Linked DNA regions of Arabidopsis thaliana. The protein of the gene in region 2 binds, or shares a complex with, the protein of the main gene of each other region. Each region holds a gene or a part of one and is shown on either strand. Other genes may lie near its edges.

Region 1 (7,744 bases), on a different chromosome or scaffold from region 2:
AGTATTTTTAAACAGTAGACTAGGCGAGATTTTTCAGAAGATTTGGTGCATAATAGTGTGTAGGTGTGTCTGATAAGCCATAATTATTTTCAATATAACCTTTTCGTTTTTGGATCGATTATGTAATTAAGGCTGATTATTAGTGATTACACCTTTCTGGTTGCTGGAAATATAGGAGGCAGGAGAACGAAATGTCGTGGAGAATGTACCTTCTTCAAAAGATGTGTTGTCGGTGATTACCTTTTTTCACCACAGAAGCATCAACCAGAGGCTACTACTATTAAAATTGCATGATACGCTAATTAGTGAAATGAAGTAAAATTTATTTTATTCTTTGGCGAGGCCCACTTAGGGAGCTAGTAAGACCCCACTATTTTATTCTTTGGCGAGCGAGGCCTACTTGCCCATCATATTCAAGTGGATATGGAATGAGTTGAAACTCTTTTTCAGATGACAAGAGACGGGCTTAAGTGGTGAAACAACTAGTTAGGCTAAAAGGTGCATCATAAGGAACTTTTTTAAACCCCTAAAAGGTCACAATTACTCTCTTGACCTTTCCTGATCCACACAAAAGTTTAGCACTTCACTAGTGAAACTGACCCTTACAAAAAAATATGTAACTACAAAAGGGTCGTCCGATTTGAGACCAGAAGCCGCATCAGTATATTCCTCCTAAACACAAGCAAGAAAGAAACAGCACAAGTGCAAATTATTCACCTTTTCTTGTATATTTTGATTTGTATGACATCAAGCAAAAATATCATAAAGAAACCAGGTGTTTACCGAGTCAAAGTTGGGGGACTGGATGGCATGAAACCAAAATTCTTGAGTCTCACTGTCTTTAGAGGCTAAAAGAGACCTTGTGTTTTTCCTTCTAATCTACAGTTGGTGATATTTCTGTCTGAAGCAAAGAAAGTAAGTGATCATTTGGTTCGTTTAGATGATAGACATGTAGATAAGAGCTAATACTTACACGAGAGTGACAAGATGATTCTGAAACTAAGGAAGTTTCAGCTTGAAGTTAATCCGCAGCGACTTCATCTCCTCCAATTGCCGCTATAAGGGTTTAAGGATTCAGTTATTCTTAAGGAATTGAAGCACACTTTTTTCTCATTTTTCCAAACAGTTCCAAACAGAAACTCATGTTTTCAGTAAAATAGTGGCAATAATCGTCTAGACAATCTAATTACCTTAGATACACTTTCAGACGCCTGCTCGTGTCTGGCTTGGTGCAAACACCATTCCATGGCCATGTCAAATTCAAGGTTGTTAGGCTGAGAAGAATGTGATGTAGCCACGGCATCTCTCTGGAAAAACATATAAAGACCAAAGAGCAAGAAGATTAGTAACGTAACAATGCATTTTTATTTGTGTGCATTATGCAAGGGAAAGGGAAATGAAAACAATACCATCTCCCGTCGCGTTTGAGTTTTGTGTAGTTTGATATGGCCTGAGAATAATGACGGCTTCCCTGGTGGAGTAATCTTAGCGAAAGAAGCAACAAGGGGCCTGTTGAGCAAAAAAGGCACAGCAGAGATTTCTGAGATGAAAGTATGCCAAAAAAATGGCACTGTACATCTCTGCAATTTATCATAGGAAGCTTAGAGAAAAAAGAAGAATATGTCATTTCAGGTTCACCTCCCACTTGATAGCAACAAGCATCCCTCATCTAGTCTTCTAATCACCCTTTCTGCAACTTCTCTTGTTTTGAAAATGACCAAAGCTTCACCTGTATATCAAACAATATGAGGTGCTCTTCATTCCATTTATAGTATGTGAGAATCATAAATTAGAACCCGGTGAGTAAAATGGTAGCTTACCAATATGAGGAATAGTGACTGATGTACGCTCTATCATCCTCGCTTCGCATTGCTGGTTCAAAGCAGAATAGACTATATCCTGAAATACAATTCATAAATTTCTTAGGTTGCATAAAAAGAGAAAAGAAGGGAGGTTTCCATGAAGTAAATCAGGAAACAACTGCATTACATTAGGTTACATTGAGTAAGCATATACAATATACATTTTAAGAGACTCCTAAATGTTGTTGAAAAAAAAAGAGACTCCTAAATAAACTGTAATACCTCCACTTCATCAGATGTATAAGTAGGATCCAAGTTTTGAAGAAGTACCACAGTCCCTTTTTTTTCTGCTTCCCTCATACTTTCTTCCCAAGGCTGGACATAATTTAGACAAATTAAAAAGTCAGTCCATAATTTCTGATACGACGTACAGAATCTGATAACAATTCAGGCTAGCTAGAAGAGACTACGCCAGCCAAACAAAAAATAGGTGCGGATAGAGAAAGTAAACAATTTGACTGCAGATTCAAAAGTAAACAACTGAGTCTCTCGAACATAGAAACGATCAAGAAAATACACTACTTTCTGAATAGCATATGAACGAGACGTTAACAATATTAACAGGTCACTCTACTAACATCATAAAACAAGCATGTCAAACACGAAAATGGAGGCAACCAAAAACGACATTTACAGAACTGGGGTGCAAAAAAAAGTTAAGGAAAAGATACTTACAAGACTCCGGAACCATTTACTTTTTCCCTGAAATAAATAAGGAAACAAAAATCTGTTAGATAAACCTCAATGTTACCAAGCATTGTGGTAACATAATAAGATGAGAAGAATGACAGAACATCACTACAACTATACAACATACAGTGTGAAGGACTGTAAAACAAAACTGCTCCTTTTAGAATTGTGTTCTTGCAAAACCACATCCTTGCATCTAAAGATTTTACAACACGCTCTGAAATCTCATGAAACAGCCAGTTCCAAACCAATGTAAACTAAATCATATTGCAGGAAACATATAGTAAGTATAAACTTACAGCATCCGGCCTTCGGCACACTTCAGTTACTTGATAGTTTCTTTCATTATCATCTGCCGACATCTTGTCCTCAGCACGTCCAAAGCTGGGCTTCTTGGATATACCTTTTTCAGTTACAGTTTTTGTAGTTTTTCCTTCAGATACTGACACTACAAGATCTCGGTTCTTAACAAAGCTGCGCTTTTCGGGAGGGACTTCCTCTATAGTCACTTTGTCTCTAGGTCTCTTAAAAGATCCTGTATCCTTTTTACCATCAGAAGTAATGTTCTGCAAAATGGTTGTATCCCATCCATCTCGTACTGTAACAGAACCATCAAGTTTCTGTTTCTTCAGAGGCCTGTCATCCAATCCACTCGACTCTTGACTATATCTTTCTCCAGCGGGCATAGATTTTTGTTTAGTCAACTGCTTTTTAACATCATTTTCTTGAGCTTTCTTTGAAATGGAATGAATTGTCCTGGAGCCAGAAGCTTCAAAAGAGTTACTATATCTTTCTTCGCCAGGCATAGATTTTTGTTTAGTTAACTGTTTTTTAACTTCACTTTCTTGATCTTTGCCATTATAATGATTTCCCCTAGAGCCAGAATCCTTGTTAGACCTTTCTTCTGCAAGTGTAGATTTTTTTATAGCGAGTTGGTAGTGACCTTTTTCTTTCTCTTCTTTGCAACCATTACTGTTTTCTTTACAGTCAGAAGATTCAAAAGCGCTGTCTTCGATTTTCCTAACTGAACCACTAGCTCCCCTAGCTAAAGGACCATTTGGTTTCAAACTATCTGACTTCCCATTTACGTCTGCTTCAATATTCTGCACCGCAGTTGCTTCTTTCTCAGAGCACGCTCTGTTAAAGATAAATTTAACTGCAAGAATTAGAGTGAAAAGAAGATATGATGTAAATAAAGAATCAAGATAGCTATTGAGTAGAATGTCAAAGCTATCAACTAAGATGAAACAAATTGTACCGTCAACTCCAGCAATCTTATCATCAATCGTATCCACAACTTTGCAACTTCCAACATCAAATGCTCGGCAAAACACGAAGTCCGCTGAGTTGAATTTTTCATCCGAGGGTTGTGGATTTCTTTTGTCTTTTGAAATGCATAGAACAGAGCATTTTCCACCGATTGCTTCCTAGTGAAATAATGTCATATCAGTATTAAAGCAGGTGTAATTTTAACTAATCACTTGCACCAGCTATTCGCACAATGGCACAAAGTTCAAACGAATATTTCAACCAAAAAGTGAAGCAAAGGTAAATCTCTCAAGACACAAGGACATGTTTGATTCACCATAGAAAGACGCTTGTAACAATGTTAGAAACCAACAAAAGTAATTGATCAACGTATTTCTGTTTGGGGAGCTTTGGGATGAGATCTATGCCATGGTTACAAAAGAGGACAAAAAAGCTACTTGGAGCACATATGTTGGTGAACAGAGAACAAGTTATCCTACCGCAAAGAATATAATATTCAACAAAACAAAAGTGGATGGACAATATAATTTAGTACGCAGCATAATATGAGATACATATCAATAAGAAAATGCCATGACATGCTCAATAAGTACTATGGAGAATGAAAATTCAACATAGTATGCAGAAGAATAATTAGTTACCAATTGGTTGGTATTAGCAAGGCCAAGACCTTCACCCGATGCTAAAAACACTTCATTGGCAAGTACATTCGGGACTCCTTCAAGATATGGCGCAATCTCAGAAGGTTTAAAGAACCAGAGAAGCTTGACTTTCTTTGGGATATGCTTATTAGCGTGTTCCCAAATTTTTATGATCATGCCAATGAAGGGTTCAGTAGAGTCTGGTTCACTGGCATTGCCAACTAAGACACAGTCATAAAGACGGTATTCATCGCCATCATAGGTGAAAGATTCATAGAACTGGACATCTTTCTTTTTCCCACCAACACCTTTCTTTTTACCCCACTTAAATTCTAAGCCTTCAGATGCTACAGATTCTTCCATTCTCTAAAAGCAATTTTCTACCTAGACAAACAGCAGAATAGTGTATCCAGATCAGAATTGCACGAGGAACTGATTAGACGACTGAACATATATCCACAATCGTTCATTTAAATGGTTGCATTGATAAATCGAAAGGAATACAAGAATTCCAACAGAAGATCAAACTCGTTTTCCAAGGATAACCGAGAGTACCCTTGACAAGGTGCAGAACACTTCAAGGACTTAAAATACTAAGACCAGAAGACACATAAAAGGAAAAAACCATCACAAGATAGATCAAATCAATGATCCACCATATACTCCCAATCAATCAAACCAAAATCACTCCCGAAACTCTATCAGATCCACTGTTAAACAAGGCAACACATTAATCTTTCAATTGAAATCATTAGCATTGTGCATATAACCAAAAACCATCCAATACATTCTTATAATGCACCATAACCAATCCATAAGAAACTTTTAAGTATTCAGTACTCAGACTAACGTTTAGTAATGACAAGGCTCTCTAAAAAAGCACGCAAGTCCACCAAAAAATACCGAAAGCAGCAAATCAGTTGATCAACGAAAGAAACTCCGTGAGAACAAAGAACACTAAATAAAATAGTAGATAATTGAGTTCAAGTAAACAAAAAGGCGATTCAGAAAAATCAAAAGATCACCAAACTACGCAATTGCAAAAAAGTGATAATATCATTTACGCAATGTAGGTTGAGATAAGCTTTTGCGTTCGTAAGAAACAGCGATTAACTGGGAAACAAAGAAGACGAAGTACTTTCACCAACAATTCAACTTTTTTTTTACCTTCACTGAAGAAATCAGTTTACAGTTTCCGAAGCCACCGAACGGAAAAATGGAACCCTAGCGAAATCAGAGTGACGCGAGTTCGATTAGGTCAAGATGAACAGAAATTGACGAAGCCCAGGTTTATCGCAGAGGGAGAAAAAAAAACCCTAATCCCTCGTTTTACCGGTTACTACAGTATCTCTCCACTTTATCTATCGCTAAAGTTCATCATAAACAAATTCAAATCAAAATCTCTATAGAGCAATTCAGTTTTGGTCGAAGATTGTTCTTGTTGTTGCAGTTTCCAGAGAGAACGGTAAGTTCATGAAAGCTTTTCTCCTCCCATTCCCCCTTTCTCTGAGATTTTCTCTGTTACTTACTTTTTTAAATGAGTTGCACAAAAGACAGAAAGTAAAAATGATTAGGTCTAAAAAAAATACATTGAAATTGAATTATGCACAAAAGAAATACGTAATTTTAGAGAAAATATATTTGAGCAAAGATTTTTACCCCCTAAATACAACAATTTCTTTATTTTATTTTTTCTATAATAATAAATTTCCAATTTTTTTACACATGTATATGTGAGATACGGTCTGATCATATATACTAACCGTTAAACAAGATCATGGAAATTTAATCATATCTTCTAACTCGAATTAGTGAGCTTATATCATAATTTGTTTAGAATTATCCCTGATAAAAGTAGTTGTGGTATAAATGCTACATCCCTATTTTAGACTCTTACTTGTTTTGATACTTAAAATTCAAAATCAAAATCATGGAGTGGAGAAATTTATTGTTCTTCTAATGACTCCTGTCAATGGTCACACGTTTTAAAAAGATGGTGTCTTTAACAAAGCCAATGGACTGTGATTCTCACCATTCACCAATGCAATATTAATCACATACTCTCTATAGTTGAATGTGTTTTAATTTTCTGGAACACCCATTAATCTTTTGGCAACGGAGGTCAATATCAAGAAGTTAAGCTATCTATGCTTTTCACTTTTCAGTAAAGGATACAGAACAATTTTTGTCTCATTAAGGCCCACTACCAAAAAGGTCTGAAGAGTTGGGTTTAGGGATACTAGGCTGTTATATGGGCTGCTTCTAGGGTCTCGTAAAAAGAAACGGCGTCGTTTTTCTGTCTTTTAAAAGTTTTTTAAAAATGCGGTGAGCGTGGATCGAACACGCGACCTTCAGATCTTCAGTCTGACGCTCTCCCAACTGAGCTATCCCCGCTTGATGCTTATATGCTTAACCTTTTATCTATATTTCCTATATTTGCGAATAATTTTGTTGTTTTTTTCGTTTGTTTGTTGATTTTTACAAAAGTTTAGTAGAGTCCGAATACATTACAAGTTGTAACACAAATACATTAAACAAAATCTCAGCGTTGCATTAATCAAAGACAGTGCCCAAATAATTGGTACACTAACTGTTAGTTTTGTCGTTTTACACTAACTGTTATATAAGTCTCCTTATAAAAAGATAATATGGAGAAGTGTTGTTTTGGTTCTCAGTGTTTGAGCCAGTAGTTTCTTAGCTGAGCCATATGCAACAATATCTCGTCCCGACCTTGATTCGTCACACTGCTGGTCATAATCCATGGCGGTGTTGTCTCAAAGAACCCTTGGATCAAGTCTTGGAACTCCTTTATGTTCGCCTCCGGTTTCTTCCCTCCATTTTTCTTCTTCTTTCTCTTGTCGCATTTTGTGAATATCAAAGTCATTGGAACCTGAGAGATATAGATAGCAATCATTCATTTCACAGAGACATTACACAATTAGTACAAGTCTTGACCATGATTGCCAATTAATGGGTTAAAGTGGGGTTTTCAAGGTTTAGGTACTTTTTATACCTGGTTTTGACCAAGCCAGCTTGCATACTCGAGATCGATTGGCTTTACAGGAATGCTGGCATCAACTAGTAAAAACACCGAGACCAATGTTGATCGATTTAGAAAATAGTCTTTGGTGAATTTGTTCCAGTCTTGTTTGAGTTCATGCGGTGCTGATGCATACCTGGATATATAAAATGTATCAACTTTCATTTTCTATACTGAAAGTCCTCAAATTCCCTGGCACAGAAACTGTAATTGTATCCAACAGACACAAACAAAAAACTAGG
Region 2 (3,676 bases):
CAGAGAAATTACAAATCCAAATTGGAATTAACCAGGAAAAAAGAGAGAGATAGAGATTGAAGAAGGAGAGAATTTTACCAGGAAGATGGGGAAAAGCCAGAGAGGCAGCTTGGGGAGAAGAAGGCAAATCTAATCCCGCTTGCCCGCTCAGAGGTGGCATTGCTCTTCTCTCGTCTTTTTATCATTATTTTATTTAATCTCTCCATTTCATTATTAAAAAAGCTCTCTCTCTCTCTTCTTTCCGCCATTAATGTCGGAAAGTGTCAGTCCGAATTCCTCTTTAAATTACCAATATACCCTTCAAATATCTTGTAATGGATCCACTAGTGCTTATGTGATGCGGGCTATATACGGTCCGAATTTTTGAAGGTTGTTTTCTGCTGAATGGATCCATTGACTAGTCCTCTATGATTCTTGACAATTGTTCTTTTGATCTTTTCTTAATTTTTCTTGGTTTTTAATTCCCTTCAGAATTGGTTTGGTGGTTCATGACTAAACCGAAAATTATTATATTCGCTTTACACAATTTTTAGTTTGGTTAATAGTAATACAATTCAAATGTCTGATCCAACATAGAAATCAAGCTATCTCATCTCAAATGTCATACACTACTCACAAGACTTAAGAACCGGGAATGTAGAAAACCAAACGCCAAAAATCTGAAATATCAGAGAGAGCAGAATATGTGTCTCTAAAGCTTAAATCTTGTTTTGCTTGAGAATTAGGCATTAAGAGGAGAGGTCAAGGTAAACTAAAGCAGGGACTTTGATTATCTCATTTACACGCTTCTACTTGTTTCACATAAATGAGAATGTGGAACATTCTTCATTACGAGTTAAAGTCAGAGCGCCTACAGCAAAGTCAGCTCAACCAAAATAGACACTGCACAAACTAGTGACATAAGGAAGTTCTAAGCAAAATACCATATGCAGTCTCTCTCTACCGATAAGGAAAACCTTTCAGGTCGTAACGGCCAGCCAGTTTCTGAGCAACACCATCGTAGAGGAGTTTATCCATCATCTCAAACTTCTTGTGATGTGTTACCGCCGTCTCAGCTTGCTGTTTCGACAGCTTCTCTGCCTCCTCAAGCTGTTTCTGACAACAGAAGACAAGAAAACACATTCACACAATAGCACACAAGTCTTCATTAACACTATCACCGCCAATCAGATCCAATACCACAGGAAGAGACAACAAACAAACGAAAACAAAAAACAAAAAATATAAGCACCTTGAGCATGAACGAATTTTCAGCACTATGCTTACGAGCAAGCCGCTTGACTCTCCTGGCCTTGTCGAAATCAGGATCGTTAGGCTTAATCCAGCGAAAACGGACCGTTCTACCAGGCTTCTTCGGTTTATCAACAAACATATTAGGCTCAGCAGCACAAGCTCTCACAGGCCTTGGCATACCAGCAACCATGAAAGGTAACTGTGAGACAGTAGAGATAACAGCCTGTGTCATCTCTTCATTCTCCATCTCAACAAGAACACCCATAGGAAGCTCCTTTGGACCCAAGTAGTTAGGTATGAAGCTGACTTTCTTGACAGTCCCAAACTGATTGAAAGCAGATGAAATAACAGGAGCTGTGGCAAGAGGCGTGAGTTCGTCTACGTAGACAGTACGACGAACTCTCTCTAGGAACTTCTCATACGCTACTTCTTCCGGAGTCGCCATCACTAACCAAATTAAGAAGAGAAAACGATAAACGAATTTAAGTTCAAATAGAACAAACCCCAAATTGATTCAACAGAGTTACAATTTCCGTCTTAAATATATGCAACGAATTTTCTGGAAAAACAAAAAAGAAATCGGGGCGAAAATCTAGGGTTTCTCAGAGAAATGGGAATGAAGAGATAGTAGCGAAATCGATGGGGCATTGATGAATAGAAGGATAGAGATCAAAGAATTACCTGAACTGGAGAGAATTCGTGTTAAAGGCGTCGTCTCTGGAAGTAACTGTTAAACTCGTGTCAAAGGCGTCGTCTATGGGGGGAGACGAAATAAGGAAGAAGAAGTAAGTTAGGAGGATAAATGACGACTTTTATAGATTTATATATTTGTTATTGGATTCCATTATCAATGGCCCGTATAGCTCAGTGGTAGAGCGTCAGTCTTGTAAACTGAAGGTCCGTAGTTCGATCCTGCGTGTGGGCACTTTTTTATTTTTCAACCTTATGCAATTTTATTTTTTTCCTTTCCCTGTAAATTATAAAAAACATGTAGTTGAAATTAAATAAGATATTTTTTTTTTTGTAAGTATTAAATAAAGAGATTTAGTGAAAGCGATGCGACTCATTGTAATGTATCAATTTTGGATCTCTTTGTAGTTTTTATAAAACAAAATCTTTTTAGGATACTTTCATTGGCCATAAATCATAATAGTGGTTCACCACTTCATTAGAGTTTTTAGCTGTTTTTCTTTTAAGAATCAAATATTAAATCAAATTCTGATTTGATCAATAATAAACTGTTATTTAGCTAATGCAATTGTTTAAACTGATAAATGTTTGGAGCTAAACGTGCAACCAATATCCTCGAGGTGGGGAGTACCTGCCTACCATTTACTATCTAGTTTTTTAACAGCAAAATATGTCTTATTTAACTGGGATAAATGTTTGGAGCTAAACGTCACTAAAACTGTTCTTGATTAATTGTAACTGGGAATTAATTACGCTAACAATAATTTAAAACGAAACATATATTTTGCGTATACTAATGTTAATTCAAGAATGTAAATTCCAGGGTATTTGTCGCAGTTGTTTATACTAAATATTAATTCGCTCAGATTCAAGAATGTAATTATTTTACAAGAATTTTGTTATCTACCTTCAAAAGGATACACAAATCTATCAGATTATATATTATTTGAATGTTGACTCAACTTTCCCCCTAGTACTACTGTTTCTTAATTCTTACTTTTTTGTTTGGTGAAAACAAAGTATTAATTAAATTCCCACTATATATATAACAAATTTTAAGAAAATAATTAATTCCATAAACTCATAGAGTTGCATCCTTTTAAAACCCTCAACATGTCCATCTCTACCGATTAACAATATCAACCAAAGGCATATCTTTTTATCTCCTTCTTCCTTCCTATTTTTGGCTAATGAATGTCTCTTTGTTGCATCTCTTGTAACTTCCTCCTAGATTTTTGAATTCCTGCCCTTATCCAAGAAGCCAGGAAAGGGTAAAAGATTTTCTCGGCCTCGTGGAGCCCTCACCATTATCTTTTCTTCCTCCACACGCAACACTACAACTTTAAAAGAGATGGATCCGACAGAGCTAAAACGCGTGTTCCAAATGTTCGACAAGAACGGGGACGGGACGATCACGGGGAAAGAGCTGAGCGAGACACTACGAAGCCTAGGGATTTACATCCCGGACAAGGAGTTGACTCAAATGATCGAGAAGATCGACGTGAATGGTGATGGGTGCGTGGACATAGACGAGTTTGGTGAGCTATACAAGACGATAATGGACGAGGAAGACGAAGAAGAAGAGGACATGAAAGAAGCTTTCAATGTGTTTGATCAGAATGGAGATGGGTTTATAACGGTGGATGAATTGAAGGCGGTTTTGTCTTCCTTGGGGCTCAAACAAGGTAAGACCTTGGACGATTGTAAGAAGATGATAAAGAAAGTGGATGTTGATGGTGATGGTAGGGTTAAC

What was found. The genes of interacting proteins can lie anywhere in the genome.
Region 1: AT1G05970 (region 2) and AT5G11470 share a complex: the UniProt entries of both Arabidopsis thaliana proteins name them as parts of the ASI1-AIPP1-EDM2 (AAE) RNA regulatory complex.

What each region holds. Positions count from the first base shown.
Region 1 is NC_003076.8:3,662,217-3,669,960, forward strand, and holds AT5G11470 (bromo-adjacent homology (BAH) domain-containing protein), read right to left. Parts: upstream 5,708-7,744; 5' UTR 5,630-5,707; intron 4,847-5,629; 5' UTR 4,826-4,846; coding exon 4,463-4,825; intron 3,980-4,462; coding exon 3,811-3,979; intron 3,709-3,810; coding exon 2,852-3,708; intron 2,565-2,851; coding exon 2,538-2,564; intron 2,178-2,537; coding exon 2,085-2,177; intron 1,900-2,084; coding exon 1,821-1,899; intron 1,730-1,820; coding exon 1,639-1,729; intron 1,510-1,638; coding exon 1,410-1,509; intron 1,308-1,409; coding exon 1,191-1,307; intron 1,057-1,190; coding exon 1,001-1,056; coding exon of another isoform or gene 1,000-1,000; exon of another isoform or gene 974-999; intron 902-973; exon of another isoform or gene 836-901; coding exon 784-835; intron 673-783; coding exon 541-672; 3' UTR 501-540; downstream 1-500. Other genes in the region: AT5G11480 (P-loop containing nucleoside triphosphate hydrolases superfamily protein), read right to left, coding at 7,134-7,352, 7,476-7,638. UniProt on the Arabidopsis thaliana protein: Collaboratively with AIPP1/EDM3 and EDM2, the AAE complex regulates alternative RNA processing (e.g. alternative splicing) and epigenetic silencing (e.g.
Region 2 is NC_003070.9:1,815,314-1,818,989, forward strand, and holds AT1G05970 (RNA-binding (RRM/RBD/RNP motifs) family protein), read right to left. Parts: upstream 2,024-3,676; 5' UTR 1,915-2,023; intron 1,681-1,914; 5' UTR 1,679-1,680; coding exon 1,232-1,678; intron 1,096-1,231; coding exon 940-1,095; 3' UTR 512-939; downstream 1-511. Other genes in the region: AT1G05990 (EF hand calcium-binding protein family), read left to right, coding at 3,275-3,676. UniProt on the Arabidopsis thaliana protein: Prevents gene silencing by suppressing CHG methylation as well as histone H3 lysine 9 dimethylation (H3K9me2) status at target loci.